3 linked regions of the Coturnix japonica genome follow. The protein of the gene in region 1 purifies or fractionates together with the protein of each later gene. This does not show direct contact. Links are inferred from orthologs where the notes say so. Each region holds a gene or a part of one and is shown in the gene's direction. Other genes may lie near its edges. The genes, in order: FAM117B, DCAF7 and DYRK1A.

The links.
Region 2: the proteins of FAM117B (region 1) and DCAF7 purify together in Homo sapiens (affinity purification with mass spectrometry; 3 studies listed by BioGRID and IntAct, with this or other methods). This does not show direct contact. The link is inferred for Coturnix japonica from reciprocal best matches to the Homo sapiens genes FAM117B and DCAF7.
Region 3: the proteins of FAM117B (region 1) and DYRK1A purify together in Homo sapiens (affinity purification with mass spectrometry; 8 studies listed by BioGRID and IntAct, counting the BioPlex papers as one, with this or other methods). This does not show direct contact. The link is inferred for Coturnix japonica from reciprocal best matches to the Homo sapiens genes FAM117B and DYRK1A.

Annotation. Positions count from the first base shown.
Region 1 is NC_029522.1:10,403,256-10,408,875, forward strand, and holds part of FAM117B (protein FAM117B), read left to right. Parts: intron 1-4,036; coding exon 4,037-4,185; intron 4,186-5,620.
Region 2 is NC_029542.1:2,165,044-2,170,663, forward strand, and holds part of DCAF7 (DDB1- and CUL4-associated factor 7), read left to right. Parts: intron 1-104; coding exon 105-216; intron 217-606; coding exon 607-725; intron 726-1,349; coding exon 1,350-1,559; intron 1,560-2,135; coding exon 2,136-2,253; intron 2,254-2,627; coding exon 2,628-2,800; 3' UTR 2,801-5,620. UniProt on the Homo sapiens protein: Involved in craniofacial development. Acts upstream of the EDN1 pathway and is required for formation of the upper jaw equivalent, the palatoquadrate. The activity required for EDN1 pathway function differs between the first and second arches.
Region 3 is NC_029516.1:96,484,398-96,490,017, forward strand, and holds the end of DYRK1A (dual specificity tyrosine-phosphorylation-regulated kinase 1A), read left to right. Parts: intron 1-130; coding exon 131-437; intron 438-726; coding exon 727-851; intron 852-1,529; coding exon 1,530-2,153; 3' UTR 2,154-5,345; downstream 5,346-5,620. UniProt on the Homo sapiens protein: Dual-specificity kinase which possesses both serine/threonine and tyrosine kinase activities. Exhibits a substrate preference for proline at position P+1 and arginine at position P-3.

The DNA of each region.
Region 1 (5,620 bases):
AATACTGAGCTGAATTTGCTATTGACATTGGGGTAACTATAAGCTGGAGGTTTGGTGGCACATTCCCTACATTCCTGGGTTTTTCTTCCTGCTTCCTCCCAAGGTAAGGCCAGGAGATTAGATCTTCTCACAGCATGTTTTGTTCTCTGATCTTCTCTCCCTGCAGTCTCCAGCACTGATTTCACGGGCTTTAGCTTCTGCTTCTGTATGAATAAATACTGATTTTTCAGTTACTGCGCTGTTGTTCCTGTCACCTGCATGACGACTGACTCCTTTGCCTTATTCCTGTGCTGCAAGGTGTATCCTGCCATCTCCAGTTCTTGCAGTTCAGTTCTTGCATAGGCACCTTTACTCATCTGCAGACCTCTGTTAGAGGAAGTTAGTCATGTGGGGTTTTTTTTCCCTTTCTTCCAGCACATGTTCCTTTTCTACATAACGAGTTTGGCATCTGTAATGCCTTGTTGACTTTCTTCCCTTTATTTTTATCTCAAACTACCCTGTATTTTAATTAGAATAGTACGTGATAAAGAGATCCTAAAGCCTACTCGTGTGAAAGGAAGTGAAGGAGACTTAGAATGGGATATCAGGAAGTCATAGAGCTTGGATGTGAACTTGTCCTGGCTGGAGAGAAAAGACGAGGAGCTCCATCACACTTAAATGTCACTGTAGAATTATTTTTAAAACTCAGTGAAAAGCAAAATAATAGCTGCAGACCTGTCAGCATTAATTACTGTACGTTGCTGTAGTTATAGAAGATGTGAGTGTAGGTTAAGAGAGTACAGAAGACTTTGTGTACCATCAGGTGGCCTCTTTGTTAGTGTAAGCTGTTTACAAATGATAAGTGTACAGAAAGTGAACTCCTTTTTTGCAGCATCGTAATTTAGATTTCTTGCGGTCGAGGCTGCCAGGGAGTGTTTGAATTAGAAGTGTTTTCATGCAAATTAGTGTGTAGTTCTTCTACATCTTTAGGAAGGTAATAGCCAAGACTACCTTCCAGAGGGGAAACGTGGTCATGCTTTGTGTCTCAGTGCCATTTGAGCCTCATGAATGCTTGCGATGCAACATGAACAAGCTTCTCTCTGCATCAGTGTTCCTTTGTGAGGTCTCCAGTTTATAGGTGTGCAGTCCTACAACTGAGAAAGGACATCAGTGTGACTGTAGCTGTGGGACTTGTGTTAAGAAGACCCCACCCCAAGGCAGTATTATCATTCCTGCTATTCAGTTGGTTATTGCTAAGCATCTCTACCTGTTTTATTTTGCTGTCCGGTCTCATTGTTATGCTGCCTTAGCTTAAATGGCCTTCAGAGGTTCTGTGGATGGATGTCCAGATAGATATATGGATAGGTGGTTTGCCATAGTGCTGCAGTAACTACTGGGTGTTTTCCCACATTGTGGACTTTGCTGATTTGTGTTGTGTGTGTCCTGTTTATATCTCATTCTGTTACTTTGCTTTGTTGGAAACCAGCTTGCAGAAAGACTTTGTTTCTAAACGGGTTTATTTAGGGCAGTAGGGGACGGGTAGGAGGGTTGATGCTTTCCACAAATATTAGTTTAAAGAGTTAATTGGGGTAATTAGAACAGATCTAATATTTAAGGACTGTACGTTTGATGAAACATCCCCATTGTTTTTCATCAGCCACAGCTGTTGTAACTGTTATCTCTATGGAGGCAGATCTCTTGTTATGTAGGTCACATCAAGGGAAAATAGCAGCTGAACGCTTCGAGTGTTGTAGAGGGAAAGGCAATGAAGGCGCTGCGTGTTTCCATTGAAGTGTTTTGAAGCAGCGTGGAGTAGTAGTCTGTGGCAATTTGTATCAAGGCGTTTGTGACAGTGGAAAGGAAGTAAACGTGTGTGCCATTATCCTTTACTATCTAAATTAAGACAGTCTTCTGACATCCAAATTCACTGAGGGATTGTCTTTTTCCTTTCATTTATGGTATTTATAGGTTTTGTAGCTTGAAAGATGCAGTTTCCCTTGAACTTAAATAATAAACAGCTTTCATCCCCGCTGTTTTGCCCCATCCTCACCATTTTGGTGGGGGAGGGGGAACAGTAACAGCTTCTGCTTCTTCGATTGTGAAGCTGTCTATTGCAGTTGCCTTGCAGATGATGTGAACGACTACACATGCTTCCTGATTATTTTTTCTCACATCCTTTCTGTTTCCCCTTGGCAAAAAAGAAAAGAGAGAAGCTTCTTGAAGAGAAAGAATGATAATTCAGAAGAAAAATAAGTAAGGGCAATATGGCAGCTATTTCTCAGAGAAATAACATGTTTGATATAACGTGAGAAGCAAACCCAATTTGTAAGGACTTAGGTGTTGTATTAGCATGCCGCATTCTCCCATGGTGCAAACAAAAGGAATCGTTTTGAAATCTTCTGATAGAAAGAGACTCTTTAGTGTGCTGAATGGTAGTGGTAGCCAGAAACTTTCTTTGATACAGGAATCTTCAAGTGTGTGGTAACTTGAAAACTGAGCTTTGGTGCAACTCCCTGAGAGCGGTTCAGCACTCGGCTCAGTACACAGAGTTTGATCTTTGTTGGTGCAATTGGAAATAATAAAACAGATGAGGTTCCTGGACTGCTTTATGTTATTAGGGATAATTATAGTGCTTCATGGTTTTAATGTATGTTTCTAATGCAGAGTTTGTATGAGGATAATTAAAATTTGTGTAAAAGACTGGCATTCTGGGAATGTTGTCCACACCACTGTATCTCTGTAACTAACAGGTTTTATTAGTCTCTGTGTACCTTGAATACGTTGAAACAGCACAGAAATTGAATTCTGGACGTATAATGGTAGTGGTTTTATCTGAGGACTAGCAGTCTGACAGTAATCAGGCCCAGCTTCCTTTGCACATAGATGAATTCGTGTAGAGTACAAATTGCTGTGGTATTTCTGCTTTTAGTGTGGAACTCGTCCAAAGACATAGTCAGAAAGAGGACGTATGACTGAGTTTTTCCAGAGCCCTTCTAAAGCATTCATCTGATTGCTGAATATTCTTTGCTTTGTGTTTTAGCCACTTGTCTTAGGCCTCTGTGTTTTTGTAGGATCAGGTATAATTCTGTGGGTAGTAAAGAGTGTGATAATAAGCTTATATCATTTCAATTTCTGAATTTGGTTTTTACATCTAGAACAAATAGCATGAGAATGTATGTATACCTGAGGCCTATGTCTTTCCTATTTGTCATTTTCTTTAATATAGTAAATGTCACCTCTTATTTTGAGGAGCCTTTCTGTACACAGTTGACACTTACTGGCTTATGGTCCTCTAACTGCAACTTTAAAATGTTGTTGGTGGATGCAGATTTCTTTTAGCCATATTCCCCTGCCTCATTTTGCTTCCTATCTTTGTTATTTTTAATCTCTTCCAGTGGAGGCTCCTGTTAGTGTCTAAATTGTTCTGAGGAGTGATGTCAGTGTGATCATATAAAATGTTAGAAGAGTTGCAGAAAGTCTAGTTAGTGCCAGGCAAATGTGAATACAGTTACCAAGCAGTGTGTAAAGGGAGGAAATGTGCTGATTATCTTGTGAAGTGTAAATCATTACCTTATCAAAGCTGACTAAAGGAACTGGGGTTTAGATATAACTCTGCAAATCTGCTGTGTATCGTATTTTGGGTAGTTAATAGAACACTTCAGCTACAACATCCCTTGAATTCAGGTAGGCACAGGGGAAGGAATTAATGCATTAATTTGAAGCATTACATTGAGGAAGTTTGGCACATATTTCCTTGGTTAGGTGTTGGCAGGTGTCAGGAAATCCTGCCATTTTTAATTGAAGCCTTCATCACTTAATGCATCTTGCACCTCTGATTGAGTAACTGATGTTGCTGGAGTATTGATGCATTGTTTGTGGCATGAGGATATTTTCCAAGGAAAAACATTTCACTGCATGTTGTAACTGAACAGAGCTTGGAAAAGTGAACAGTTCTACTTGTATCTGGAATAATATCATAGCTCTAGTAGCATCTAGTTTTATACAACTTTTTGAAGGCAGTTTCTTGCTTTCTAATCAAATGTTATTACTTTGGCAGACAAATCAAGGCCACCTTCATCAAGCCCTTCCAGTATTATTCGCCGGACTTCCTCATTGGATACGCTTGCTGCTCCTTACCTTGCTGGACAGTGGCCTCGTGATAATCACGGACAAGCTGTTCCATGTATGAGAGACAAAGCCACACAGGTAGGTCAGATTTGTTTTACTTCAGAGAACTTAAGTGTAAAGATAGTCTTTAGATGCAAGAAGAAAGAACTTTGGCTTTCTTGCTCACTAGCTCCTGTTTGCTTTCATGTTGCAGACATTGTACCTTGGCAGTGATGCATTTGAATTATTTGCATTCTATAAGAAAAGACCATGAACTGTGATACGTTTTATGAGTTCACTTTATTATCCCAGAGAGGCATTTGTGCACTGCACATCTGCTGAGGAAGTTGGGCTTGTTTAGCTTGGAGAAAAGGTATGGGGAAGACCTGATAGCAGCTTTCCAGTACTTAAAGGCAGCTTATAAGCAGGAGGGAAATCAAATTTTTGCCTGCGTAGATAGTGATAGGACAAGGGGGAATGATTTTGAACTAGAAGAGAGGAGATTTAGATTAGTTGTCGGGGGTTATTTTTCACTGACAAGTTGGCAAAGTTCTGGAACAGGCTGCCCATAGAAGCATGCCACATCCCTAGAGGTGTTCAAGGCCAGGTTGCATGGGGTCCTGCACAGCCTGATTTGGTCCCCTATCTGGTAGGTGGTGGTACTGTCCACAGCAGGGGGTTGGAACTAGAAGATTCTCAAGGTCCCTTCCAAATCAAGCCAGTATATGATTGTATGATCTGTTTTCTCATTGTTCTGACTGCATGCAAGACTCTGGAATACACTGGTGTTAAATACTTCTGTGTCTTAGTTTATGCAAAGGAACTTAAAATGACTCCTTGTATGTATGTCTGTCTCCAAACATAATAGAAAAGCTTCTCTAGTGCCTTCAAAGAAGTTACTGTAGCTTTTTCCGTGATAGACAGTTGATCCTTTGATTGCAAAAGGCTTTTAATGTTCACCTGGGATGTATACACAGAAGCACACGCATTGAGAAGCTCCTTCACAGAAGCATGACTGATGCTCAAGTTTAACTGAACTGCAAAGCATCAAAACAGTGATATGAAATTGTGTGAAGCTATGGAAGCATTTTGGCAAATCATACACAAATTTTTAGTGGTTCATACCTCTGGAATCTGTAGAAATATGCTCCATTACAAGGGTTTGATGCTTATCATTCCCCTTGTAGGGAGCTATTGCCTTATATGGCATCTTAATCCATACAAAAGTGATTAAAGTCACTTTTCAAAAACATATGAATGCATTTCCATCAGATATTGGTGTTTCTTCCCTTGTTCTTTGGGTGTATTTGGGCAGTGTGTTTCCCAGTCTTAGACTGAAAGAAAGAGCCGAATATCCCAAGTTCTTAATCCTTAATCCTAGAGCATGGTTTGAACTGTGGATCTCCACCAGTTCCAAAGAATACAAGAGAATGATAGTCGGAAGGTTAACTGGCAACATCTGGGACATACTTGAGACTGAGCCTGCCTTGCGTTTGGTAACGAGAACAGAAATATAGCTGTAATAGATTTGCGT
Region 2 (5,620 bases), on another chromosome or scaffold:
TTAATGTCTTGTGTGTTGGGATTAATACCTCGTACATTGGATGTGGAGGTGTAACCGGACATGTGATGTTGCTATTTCAGTCAGATGCTTTGCTTTTCCTAAAGGTGGGTGAAACAGAGACCCGGCTGGAGTGTTTGCTGAACAATAACAAGAACTCTGACTTCTGTGCTCCACTAACATCATTTGATTGGAATGAAGTGGATCCTTACCTCCTTGGTGAGACTGACAAAATGAAGAAGACACGCTCTTGAATTAAGTCTGGTGAAGTCCCAATGTGATTATGTTTGGTTTTTTGGTTTTTACTCGAGGCTTAAGGGATGGAGAAGTTCATCCCAGAGCTGCATCTTCCACACAGATTGAGGTAGACATAAGCTATTTACACTCTATACCTGTGTAATGTGAAAGACCATATCAGCATCCAAAAGGTTTGGGTCTTTTAAATGCATTGATAGACTGCTTGACATTCTTGATTTTAATTGTATGCTGTTCTTGTGGCTGTTTTGATCTGTAGATATCAGAAACTATTGCCACTTAGTGCATCAGTGGAATTTGTGAGAATCGTGCGAGTTTGCTAATATTTTGCTAAAAGAAGTGCTTTTGTTTCAGGTACCTCTAGCATTGACACAACCTGCACTATTTGGGGTCTGGAGACAGGACAGGTTCTGGGAAGAGTAAACCTGGTCTCTGGCCACGTCAAGACCCAGCTTATTGCACATGACAAAGAGGTGATGGATATTTTTGGTTGTTTACATTGCTTTTCTTTGTTTTTCAAGCAGTAAAGCAACAAAACTTTTGCTTTCTCCTTTGTTTTTTTTCTTGAGAATTCTGATCATTCAAAAATCTAATGATCCACAATTAAGATTTATGAGTTTCAGGTGCATTAATTATAGGTAAAATACAGTTTTAATGTATTACAAACTAATTAAAGCTGTTCTATCAGCTATCAGAACTACTCTGCTTACTTACCATAGAATCTGGACTTGAGAATATATTTGTTTTACAAGATTATGCTACAGAATATTTTTGGAAGAATCAAACTGGAATTGTAATCAATTGCGTATCAAAGGCAATAAACATCTTACAGGATTCTTTCATTTTAATGTAATATCTGAATCCAGAAAGTACCTATGTTCTGTTTCAGTGAATAATCCTGTAATTATACAACTTGTTTTTTCCTCTCCCTTTGGCTTAAGAACTTGCTAGGAAACTCAAGTATTTGACAAAAAGTATTACAGTAGTAGTAGTAACAATTTCTTCTGTCCATATAGGAAATGCATTTAGCTGTGGATTAGGAGGCAGGATGCTCACTAAAACCCGGGTTGTTTTTTTTCTGTTTTGGTGTTGAGCAGGTGTATGATATAGCATTTAGCCGTGCAGGTGGTGGGAGAGATATGTTCGCTTCGGTTGGTGCAGATGGCTCAGTGAGGATGTTTGATCTCCGTCATCTGGAACATAGCACCATAATTTATGAAGACCCACAACACCATCCATTGCTGCGTCTCTGCTGGAATAAGCAGGATCCCAACTATCTTGCCACAATGGCCATGGATGGCATGGAGGTAAGGCGGTAGTTCTGCAGAAGGAACAAGGCAATTTGAGGGAGGTGGTTTGGTCATTTACACTTAGTTCTTAAAGTGAAGGTGCAGTAAGTGGAGCATGAGAAAGGCCAATTCTTGTTGCAGTAATTTCAGTAGGAGCTAGAGGTAAGTTTGGCATTATAAATGTGAAGGTCTCTGTGCCCCCCTCTATATTTCAGTCAATTTATGAGGGTTCCATGAGCCAGTTGGGCAGCAGCTCTCACATAAAACAGTAAGTGTGAGTATTTTAGTCACCTTGTTCTTTCTCAGCTCTTTGCACCAGGCAGTGTACCGTAGATTTTTACCTGAACTGCTTCAGGGAAGCATGAGTCACTTTTTTTTTCATAACTCACAAGCGTCCTATGTGAGGTCTGACTACTTCTGAAATGCACACAACATGCTGACCAGCTAGAAACTGTTCTTTCAGAACAATGTGTGCTTGCCAAATGCATCCTTTTGGAAGGTATTTAAAGCCTTAGTTCAAAACTCTTTGCTCTCTGGATGGGATGAGAGATGGAAATACAAGTTATTAACTTAGCTTGATTTTTGTTTCTGAAGGTTGTGATTCTCGATGTCAGAGTTCCCTGCACTCCTGTTGCCAGGTTAAACAACCACAGAGCATGTGTAAATGGAATTGCTTGGGCACCTCATTCTTCCTGCCACATTTGTACAGCAGGTAAGCATGGAAAGAGATTCTTGGTCACGCTCTTACCGTCTCTGCTGGTGAGCCTGGTGCTCTAGCTGTGCATCTCCTTTGGCTAAGCTGTTTTATTTCAGTGCTGCTGAACTTATTTTGCAATTTAGTTCTGAAGTGTTTGCACTTTGAGTTCCACCAATTGTGTTTTTAACTTTGTCCTGGATGACATAATTATCCAAAGATGTGTACGAGTTCTACTTGGAGAGCAGTTCTATCATTGTATCTGTCTCACTTTCTTATCTGAACTGCAAGGTCTATATTCAAACTAGCTTTTTACTACACCCCTCTTAGTAGCCATGTATGGACATCTTGTTGTGCTTTGATCCCACTTAGGATTTCGTTTTCTTTTGCAGCGGATGACCATCAGGCTCTCATCTGGGACATCCAGCAAATGCCTCGTGCCATTGAGGACCCTATCTTGGCCTATACAGCAGAGGGAGAAATCAACAATGTACAGTGGGCATCAACTCAGCCAGACTGGATAGCTATCTGCTACAACAACTGCCTGGAAATTTTGAGAGTGTAACACTACTGCTTCATGCCTAATTGAGGCAGGGCTGTATAATTTCCCCACCCCTCTAAAGTAAGAACAACACAAGTCAAGTGGCCAGTATCTGTTGTTGCTTTGCATCTACTGTTCCAAGAAACTGTTACAAGAATCAATGGCAGGTGTCTCCTGTCTCTCCAAGACTCTAAAATGCAGAGACACGCTGAGCCTCTTGGACCTTTTGGGTTCTGGTTTTCTTTGTTTTTGTTTCCCTCAGTTAAAGTTCTGTATATTTGTTTGTTGACTGTGTTAATAAGCTTGCAGGCTTTAAGTTGCTGCGTATGTCCAAGTGTTTGTCAGCTAGCCAGGGCGGCACATCTACCTAGTTTAATAGATGCAAGTGCAAAACAAGGTGGGGAAAAAGATGGTAATGTTAACAGCCACCTTGGCAGGAATCTTTATCATTCCTGTTGTTGCTGCCTCTAAACTGTTTAAACATTTGTATGTTTTTTATATATTGGGCTAACTTTCTATTGAGTAAGGCTTTTCTCCCGAATTCTTACTTTTGATATGTGATCCACTTCCATATACCTAAAGCAGGATATCTTTGTTGATACAAATCACAAAACAACACTGCAGGCTCCCTGGCAGTAAAGGCCTGCCAGAACTAACTGTTGCCTTGGCTCTCAATACCTGGTTACTTGGTGCTGTGAAGTACAAGTACTTGTTGCACAATTTCTTTACACTTCTCTGATGCTAGAGGCAGCTGCTACTATGGCAGGCCTTATTTTTAAATAAGAACTGCATTTACTGTGTGTCTCCTGCAGTTGTGGTAGCTAACAGAACGGTAATGGGTTTCAGACGGAAGGTATTTGCATGACTTGAGCTCCCTCTGAGGGAAATGACTTAAGAAAAAAAATGCTATTTGTAATAATGGACTCTGGATTGACGTTTCCAATGAAATGATTTCCCCTTAGAGGGCTTACGATCTGAACCAAAATAAAATGGTTTCACACTTTGTAGCTTGCTTGATTAGCAGATAACACGAGCAAGATCTTGTGGTTAACCAGTGCCATGGAGCTTCTTTGCATTTGTTCTGTGTTCCTGGGAGTTCTTGAAAGGAGGACCCTTTTTTTCCTAAACATGTTTGCTTTGTACTGTCGGGTCTTGTTGAATGAATGAGATGAGGTGGAAGAACTCATCCACCATCCAAATGAAAGCTGTTTCTCTGAAAGAAATAATTCCCTAATGTAATGCTCAGAAGACAGATTTCAAGTGAAAGAAACAGTGCCGCAGAGGCTATAGTTCGGTGCTTGTCATCCTTGTGGTTATTTGAGATGCATCCAAGGGCATCTGTTTCTGTTTTGAATAGTGGAATGCTTTACAGTAATACACTGCAATCAAAGCTGAGTGGATTAGACAAGATAAAAATCTGTACTGAAGTCTTAATATAGCACAGGTATTGAGATAAAAGCTCCACAGTGCTCTTCTTCCAATGAAGACATGACAGCTGTAGCTGGTCCATGGGGGTATAGCAGCTGAGTTTTGATGGAAATGTCAGAAACGATCAGCGCTGTCTTTCTACCTGATGTATATTCACCTGCAACTGCAGGCAGCATTAAAAACAGTAGAGCACTTGCAAACTGTGTTTCATCAGCTTGTGTGGGAAATGCAGGTTAGGAAAAGGGACTGCAGGGAAACAGTGAAGCTAATGCAGAAAGCAATATCCAATACAGAATGGACTCTGGGAAGTTATGTTGTTCTGGACGTAAGAATGTTCTTGCACGGATGACTTCCTGACATGGAGCTTAGAAGAGCACTGCCTTGCAAGTCCTGTTTGCAGTTCCTTAGAGGCAGCATTACTGCATCACCTCTTGTAATATCAGAGCCGAGGACTCTTAACAGTTTAAGCTCATGTTTTGTCAGTGACATTCTGTGTTCAGCTGTGGGATTTTTGACAGCAGGCTTCATTTGGCTTGGCAATAGGTTTTCATACTAGCTGCGATGCTGAGAGTAGAGTGTTCCACAGGTAACGTGATCTAGATATCAGAGCAGTATTAGCCAAATAGTTGGGTTATAACTTTTGCAGTAGCATTTTGTTGTAAGTTGTAAAATACTTATGCAGAATTAAGTGAAAATTAGGGTTTTCTTAGCAGCAGCACATAATTGCATCCAGAGATTTAGAAACTCAAGAATACATCCACTGACTTACAGTGTTTTATTACAAACAGTAGGTGTAATGTCCTGTGTCACTGAGAGGGATTTTAACTTTGGCTTGGAGTGCAAGCTTAATGGGTACTAAGCAATCTCTTAATTTGATTTGTGCATTGGGAAATGATGGGAACTACCAGAAGTCGTCTTTGTGTTTCGAAGTCTCACACTTGCATAGGTGGCATAAGTTAAAAGATGATGAACACGCCTGCTGCTTGGGAGCAGATTTGTTTTAAACAGCTGTAGAATTGTTCTTTGAAAAAGAGATAAGCTAATTTAGTTGAAAATAAAGTGGCTAGAAGGTTCCATAGGCTGTACTAAATGGCAAACACAGTCAGTTCCTCTAGGAATAGAGTCTGTTGTGCTGTGATGATTAGCATGGAAGGGCTAATCATCAAATAATCAGATAGCTTTTGCTCATGCTGGAGAACTACTGTCCTGTTGTGAACCCAACGAGTGTCAGTCCCTCCATTCATAAAACTGATTGAAGTTCACACATGGAATTGAGTTCTCATTCCAAACTACTCAAAGGCAAGTGAAGGAATTTTGTAGACTCCAGGGGGTTCTAAATAAAGCGTGTATCCTGTTTGTTTAGCCGGTCGATCTGCCTCCTAGATCTGTAACGTGTTGCTTTGGGCATCATCTGTT
Region 3 (5,620 bases), on another chromosome or scaffold:
GACAGGGCAATTAAGTGACAATTTACATAGTATTTAATAGTTTCTTACTTTGATCTGGCTGACTTATTTTATGACAAAATTAAACCATGAATTGAAGTGGCTTAATATATGTGACTTGGTTTTCCAACAGGAATACAAACCACCTGGAACTCGTAAACTTCACAATATACTAGGAGTTGAAACAGGAGGACCAGGTGGACGTCGTGCTGGGGAATCGGGTCATACTGTAGCTGACTACTTGAAGTTCAAAGACCTCATCTTAAGGATGCTTGATTATGACCCTAAGACACGAATTCAACCTTATTATGCCCTACAGCATAGTTTCTTTAAGAAAACAGCAGACGAAGGTACCAACACAAGCAACAGTGTGTCTACGAGTCCTGCTATGGAGCAGTCGCAGTCTTCAGGAACCACCTCCAGTACATCTTCAAGCTCAGGTGAGGATTTCCCCTTAATGGAACAGAAAATTATATTTCTGAATCACATCAAAGGAGACTTTCACAGGTAAAAGTCATATCACTGTCAGTCACAGTCATTGAAAGCATTTATATATTATCTAGAACAGGAAAGTGCTCTAACAAAAAAAAAAAAAAAAATCAGCAGATTTACACAACTGTGAGTGATTATCATAGGTCCTGTGTTCGAATCAGTTCAAATCTTTATGCTGTTGTTGTCTGCGACCTTCTGTAAATTTTTTCTCTTGTTGTGTTGCTATGATTTTTATAGGTGGATCTTCTGGAACAAGCAACAGTGGAAGGGCACGGTCAGACCCCACACACCAGCATCGACATAGTGGTGGACACTTCACTGCTGCTGTTCAAGCTATGGACTGTGAAACACACAGCCCACAGGTATGCTGAAGTAGAGCTTTTGTCTGTTTGATGTATATATTTTTTCTGAGAGTGTTGAATCCCTGAAACTAATTATATTAGGTTTACATGACAGGGATTCATGTCATGAGTGGAGGGGGGATGCACAGGTGTCGTCTGGGAAAAATCTAGGAGCTGACCCAAGTTAGATAAGAGCAAGCTCCATCTGGCTTAAAAAAGGGACCAGCTGTTGGCCAGAACTGAGCCAAGAAGTGACACTGGTTGCACCTCTGTGGTAGCAGATTCAAGAAAGGGGAAAAAAAAGACTGTACAGCAGCAACTGGGAGAAAGGAATGACTAACTATAGAAAGAAACAGCTCTGCTGGTGCCAAGGTCTTGAGCAGGGGAGGGCAGCATATGCACCAGGTGTGGGTCAGGAGCTCTGCTGCAGCTCCTGGAGAGGCCCATGGAAACCAGAAAAGGTTGTACATACTACTTTGCAGCTGACAGATTCTTTTTCTCCCATGTATGTGATTTAACTCATTCAACAAATTGATGTGTTTCTAGATCTGGCTTACTTTAATTTGTCAGTGAGATCATTAATTGGACATACTTTTATTGTTTGGGAAAAAAAAAGTTCAGAATACAAACTTTTTATATTTAGAAATGTATATTAGAAATGAATAATCATTTCACTATTTGCTTTTCCTGTTAACGTAGGTTCGACAACAGTTTCCTCCTCCGATTGGTTGGACAGCCACTGAAGCTCCCACACAGGTCACTGTTGAAAACCATCCAGTTCAAGAAACCACCTTCCATGTAACCCCTCAACAACAGAATGCATTACATCATCATCACGGAAATAGCTCTCACCACCACCATCACCACCACCACCACCACCATCATCATGGACAGCAAGCCTTGGGTAGCCGGACCAGGCCAAGGGTCTACAATTCTCCAACAAACAGCTCCTCCACCCAGGATTCTATGGAGGTGGGCCACAGTCACCACTCCATGACATCCCTGTCTTCCTCAACTACTTCTTCCTCTACATCTTCCTCCTCTACTGGTAACCAAGGCAATCAGGCCTATCAGAACCGCCCAGTGGCTGCTAATACCTTGGACTTTGGACAAAATGGAGCTATGGACATGAATTTAACAGTCTACTCTAATCCGCGCCAAGAAACTGGCATAGCTGGACATCCAACGTACCAGTTTTCTGCTAATACAGGTCCTGCTCATTACATGACTGAAGGACACCTTGCAATGAGGCAAGGGATTGATAGAGAAGAGTCTCCCATGACAGGAGTTTGTGTTCAGCAAAGTCCTGTGGCTAGCTCGTGACTAAACTGAAACTAAGTTTGTTTCTTGTGTGTTTTTATAGAAGTGGTGTTTTTCCAAAAACAAAGTGCAAAGCTGCTTGAATCAGAAGGAGATAAACTCACTGAACCGCTACAGGAGGGCAAAGCTGACTATTTTTTTAGACTTGAAAAGATTGCAAAGGGACAATGAAGTTTTTTTTGGTTTGGTTTGTTTTTTTAAGAGCCATGTCCGGACCCACCTTAACAGATAGCATAGTAGCGTTCACCTTTCGCTTCCCCCATTTTAACTTGCCACAACCTAGTCATAGTTTGCTTTTTTTTTCTTGGGGACTGGGGAGGGGAGGGGAGAAAGAGGGGTTTTTTAAAATTTTTTTGGTTTTTTTTCCCCCCTTTTTCAGACTCATTCAACAGGGATTATTGTTCAAATGTTAGCTGTAGTTGCAAACTAGTTTCTTTTTAATGGCATTGCACATGATTTACAAAAAGGCCCTTTGAAATTTTTGGGTGGGAGAGGAGTGAATAAGATAAGTGTATTTTTTTTTAGTTCCCCAAACAAACATGGGCACAGAAATGCAGTACTGTAAGAAAGAGGGACCTTCAGATCACACAAATATATATTCTTCAGTTGTAAAAAGGGACGGTTGTAATGGATTTTGTAAGGCACATTAAGCATGATAAGTGGCGGTGATCAGAACTCTCCTTATCTGAATCTACTGAGGATCAAAGCAGCAATTGTAATGGGATTCTGCGTGTCTCATATTTTGGAGACCGCAGTCAGTTAGTGTTGAAATATGACTGGTTTCATAACTAAGGTGCACTGAGAAGCAATCAACGGGTCGGTCCTGGCCAGTCGTGGGGAGGTCTAAGTGGTGGTCTTTGGGATAACCTTTGGCCTTATGGATTTGGACTCTTAAGTTAGAAGAGCCTACCATTTCAGATGCAATCACTTTTGGACATGCTTTTGCAGACGGTCCTTAATGCTGAAAACACAGAGAATGGGTAATTCAAGAGGCCTTTCTTTTAAAATAGACTTTTGTGACCCACTTATTGTAAGGTATTGCAAGGTCACTTTGCGTGTGTCATAAAGTTGACTTCCTTATTGGTTGAAGGTCACAGGAGTAGTGGTTTGCGTTTGATGGAAATAGCTACAACTGTGTCCCTTCCCGCTTTTTACTTTTTTCTTTTGCTTTTTCTTGGCACGTGGTTTCTCCACCATTACTTCTGCACAAAGACGTCTTCTGTTCATCCTGAACATTTTTAAAAATGCAGAATTTTATGTGACTGCTTTTTTGCCTCACAATTATGCTGTGAATTTTACAAAAATTTATTTTCTTTTTTGATAATTTATTGTACCAAAGCTGTTTTTATAGCACATAGATGTCTGTAACCAATAATGTAGCAGTTCTGCACTTTGACACAAGGTGTAACTAGACCATTTTTAAATGTCAGTTGAAAATTATGGCTGTACTATTGCTTAAACAAAACTGGAACTGTTGTTGAATTCATAGCCAATACATTTACAGCAATCTGTGTACTGAACATAATAGATTGACATCTACTTCAAGACTATAACATCTGTTACATTATAAACGTGTTCAGGCTTCTGAAGGTAAAAGGGACGCTAGATCCAGAAGCTATGAAACCAGCAGTTTGATTCTTGTATTCCTTATTAACATAATTGTAAACTTGAAGGCAAGACCTTGATTGCATGAACAGGTCCAAAATAATAGTCTGAGTAAAGCAAAACACTCACATGAGACCTGAGGTTAGAAGGCTGTATTTAACAGGTGCCTAATTTTTGGGTAATGCTGCCTTAATATAACACAGTCAGCTTGGCAGTTGCAAAATTTATGGGCCCAGTCAGAGATTTATTAATATTAGAAGTAAAAGCATGGTGAAAAACATCTGAAAGAATAAGAGTGAGTCAGTGATTGCCCATCCCAGATTAACACTGTTTGCCCATTATATATTACAGAAGCAGTGATCTACCTCTGCCAGTAAGCCCTTTTAAAAGTTAATTCAGCAGAAATTCCGGAGTTCACACTGATCAGTTCCATGTGGCTAAGTAATTTTTTTTCAGACTAAAAGGTGGACTTTTTTATACTTGCAGTAGCAGCACAGCAGCTGAATACCATGTACATGAGAATGAATACTTGGGATTACCTTTTTTTTTTTTTTTTTTTGGTAAATCACGACTTTTTTATCAAGTGATCCATATTTCTTTTCTATTGAAGTGTCAACCCTGTGGATGAAAGTGGGTTGTTTTTTTCCTGATTGTTTTCCTTTCTTCTTAAACTCAGTGATTAAGAGAAGTTTACAGGGATTGGAAAGCTGTCACCTTAAAAACAAAAAGGATACTGAGTTCAGCAATATAAAAAGGAATCCAGTACTTACTGCTGTCTAGGAATATAAGGGTGATATGAAATCTGGGTATTTTTGTGTGCACGGGTTGCCACACCTTAGCAAGCGCCAAAAAACGAAGCAATTAATAAAAAACAAACTAACTACATAAAGAAGAAACCACAAAATCCAGTGCTTATGCATACTGTGTTATGTTACAGTCCAGTTTTGTGTGCTTTACTACACAGTTTGGTTACAGGACTTCTGTGCATTGTAAACATAAACAGCATGGAAAAGGTTAAATACCTGTGTTCAGATTGTAAGATCTAGTCCGGACTTGCTGTGTATATTGTAACGTTAAATGAAAAAGACAAGCCCTTTGTATTATAGTCATGCAGTCTTATGTATGATAAACAGTTGAATAATTTGTCCTCAGACTCTTTACTGTGCTTTTTGAAAAAACAAAAAACAAACAAACAAAAAAAAAAAGAGTAATTTAAGAAAAAAAATGTAAACATAGTAAATCTTCCTATGCAATTAACCTACTCCAAGCCATGGTATGGTAGGTATGATTATACTATAATATGTAAATATCAGATACATTGAAACAGACTTAAAAATATGAAAGTAAAAGTTGGAGGCATAATGGATAATTTTGAGTTTTTAATTGAAACAGCAAGGTATACAAATCAATGATGTATGAACACAGCTCTGCTTGATTCTGTTTGACTGTATTTGTAGTTTGAGTTGTTTATATTATCATCTGTTAGTTTGAATGTTCTTATATGCACTGCAGCTTTCTACCTAATACAAGACTAGCTGATTTTAAGGCCAGAAGTGACCATGGTAATGAAATATTCTGACTGGCATGCCATTATCCCTAGGATTCAATCTAGTTATTTCTACATCATGGAGCCTGTATCTTCTGGGTGCAGTAGAACATACTTTAAAAAAAGAAAAAAACAAAAAACAAAAATCAACAACAACAAAAAAAACCAACCAAAACCAAAAACACGCCAGTTTTCATGTAGGTTCTGCAAATGTGAGGATTTCTCCATGTCTCTCAAGTGATTCAGCTAGTTCATTTTCCATACTCTCTTAGTCCTTCTTCGGTTTTGGAACTGTTTAGTTACAGCTGCTGGCCACCAC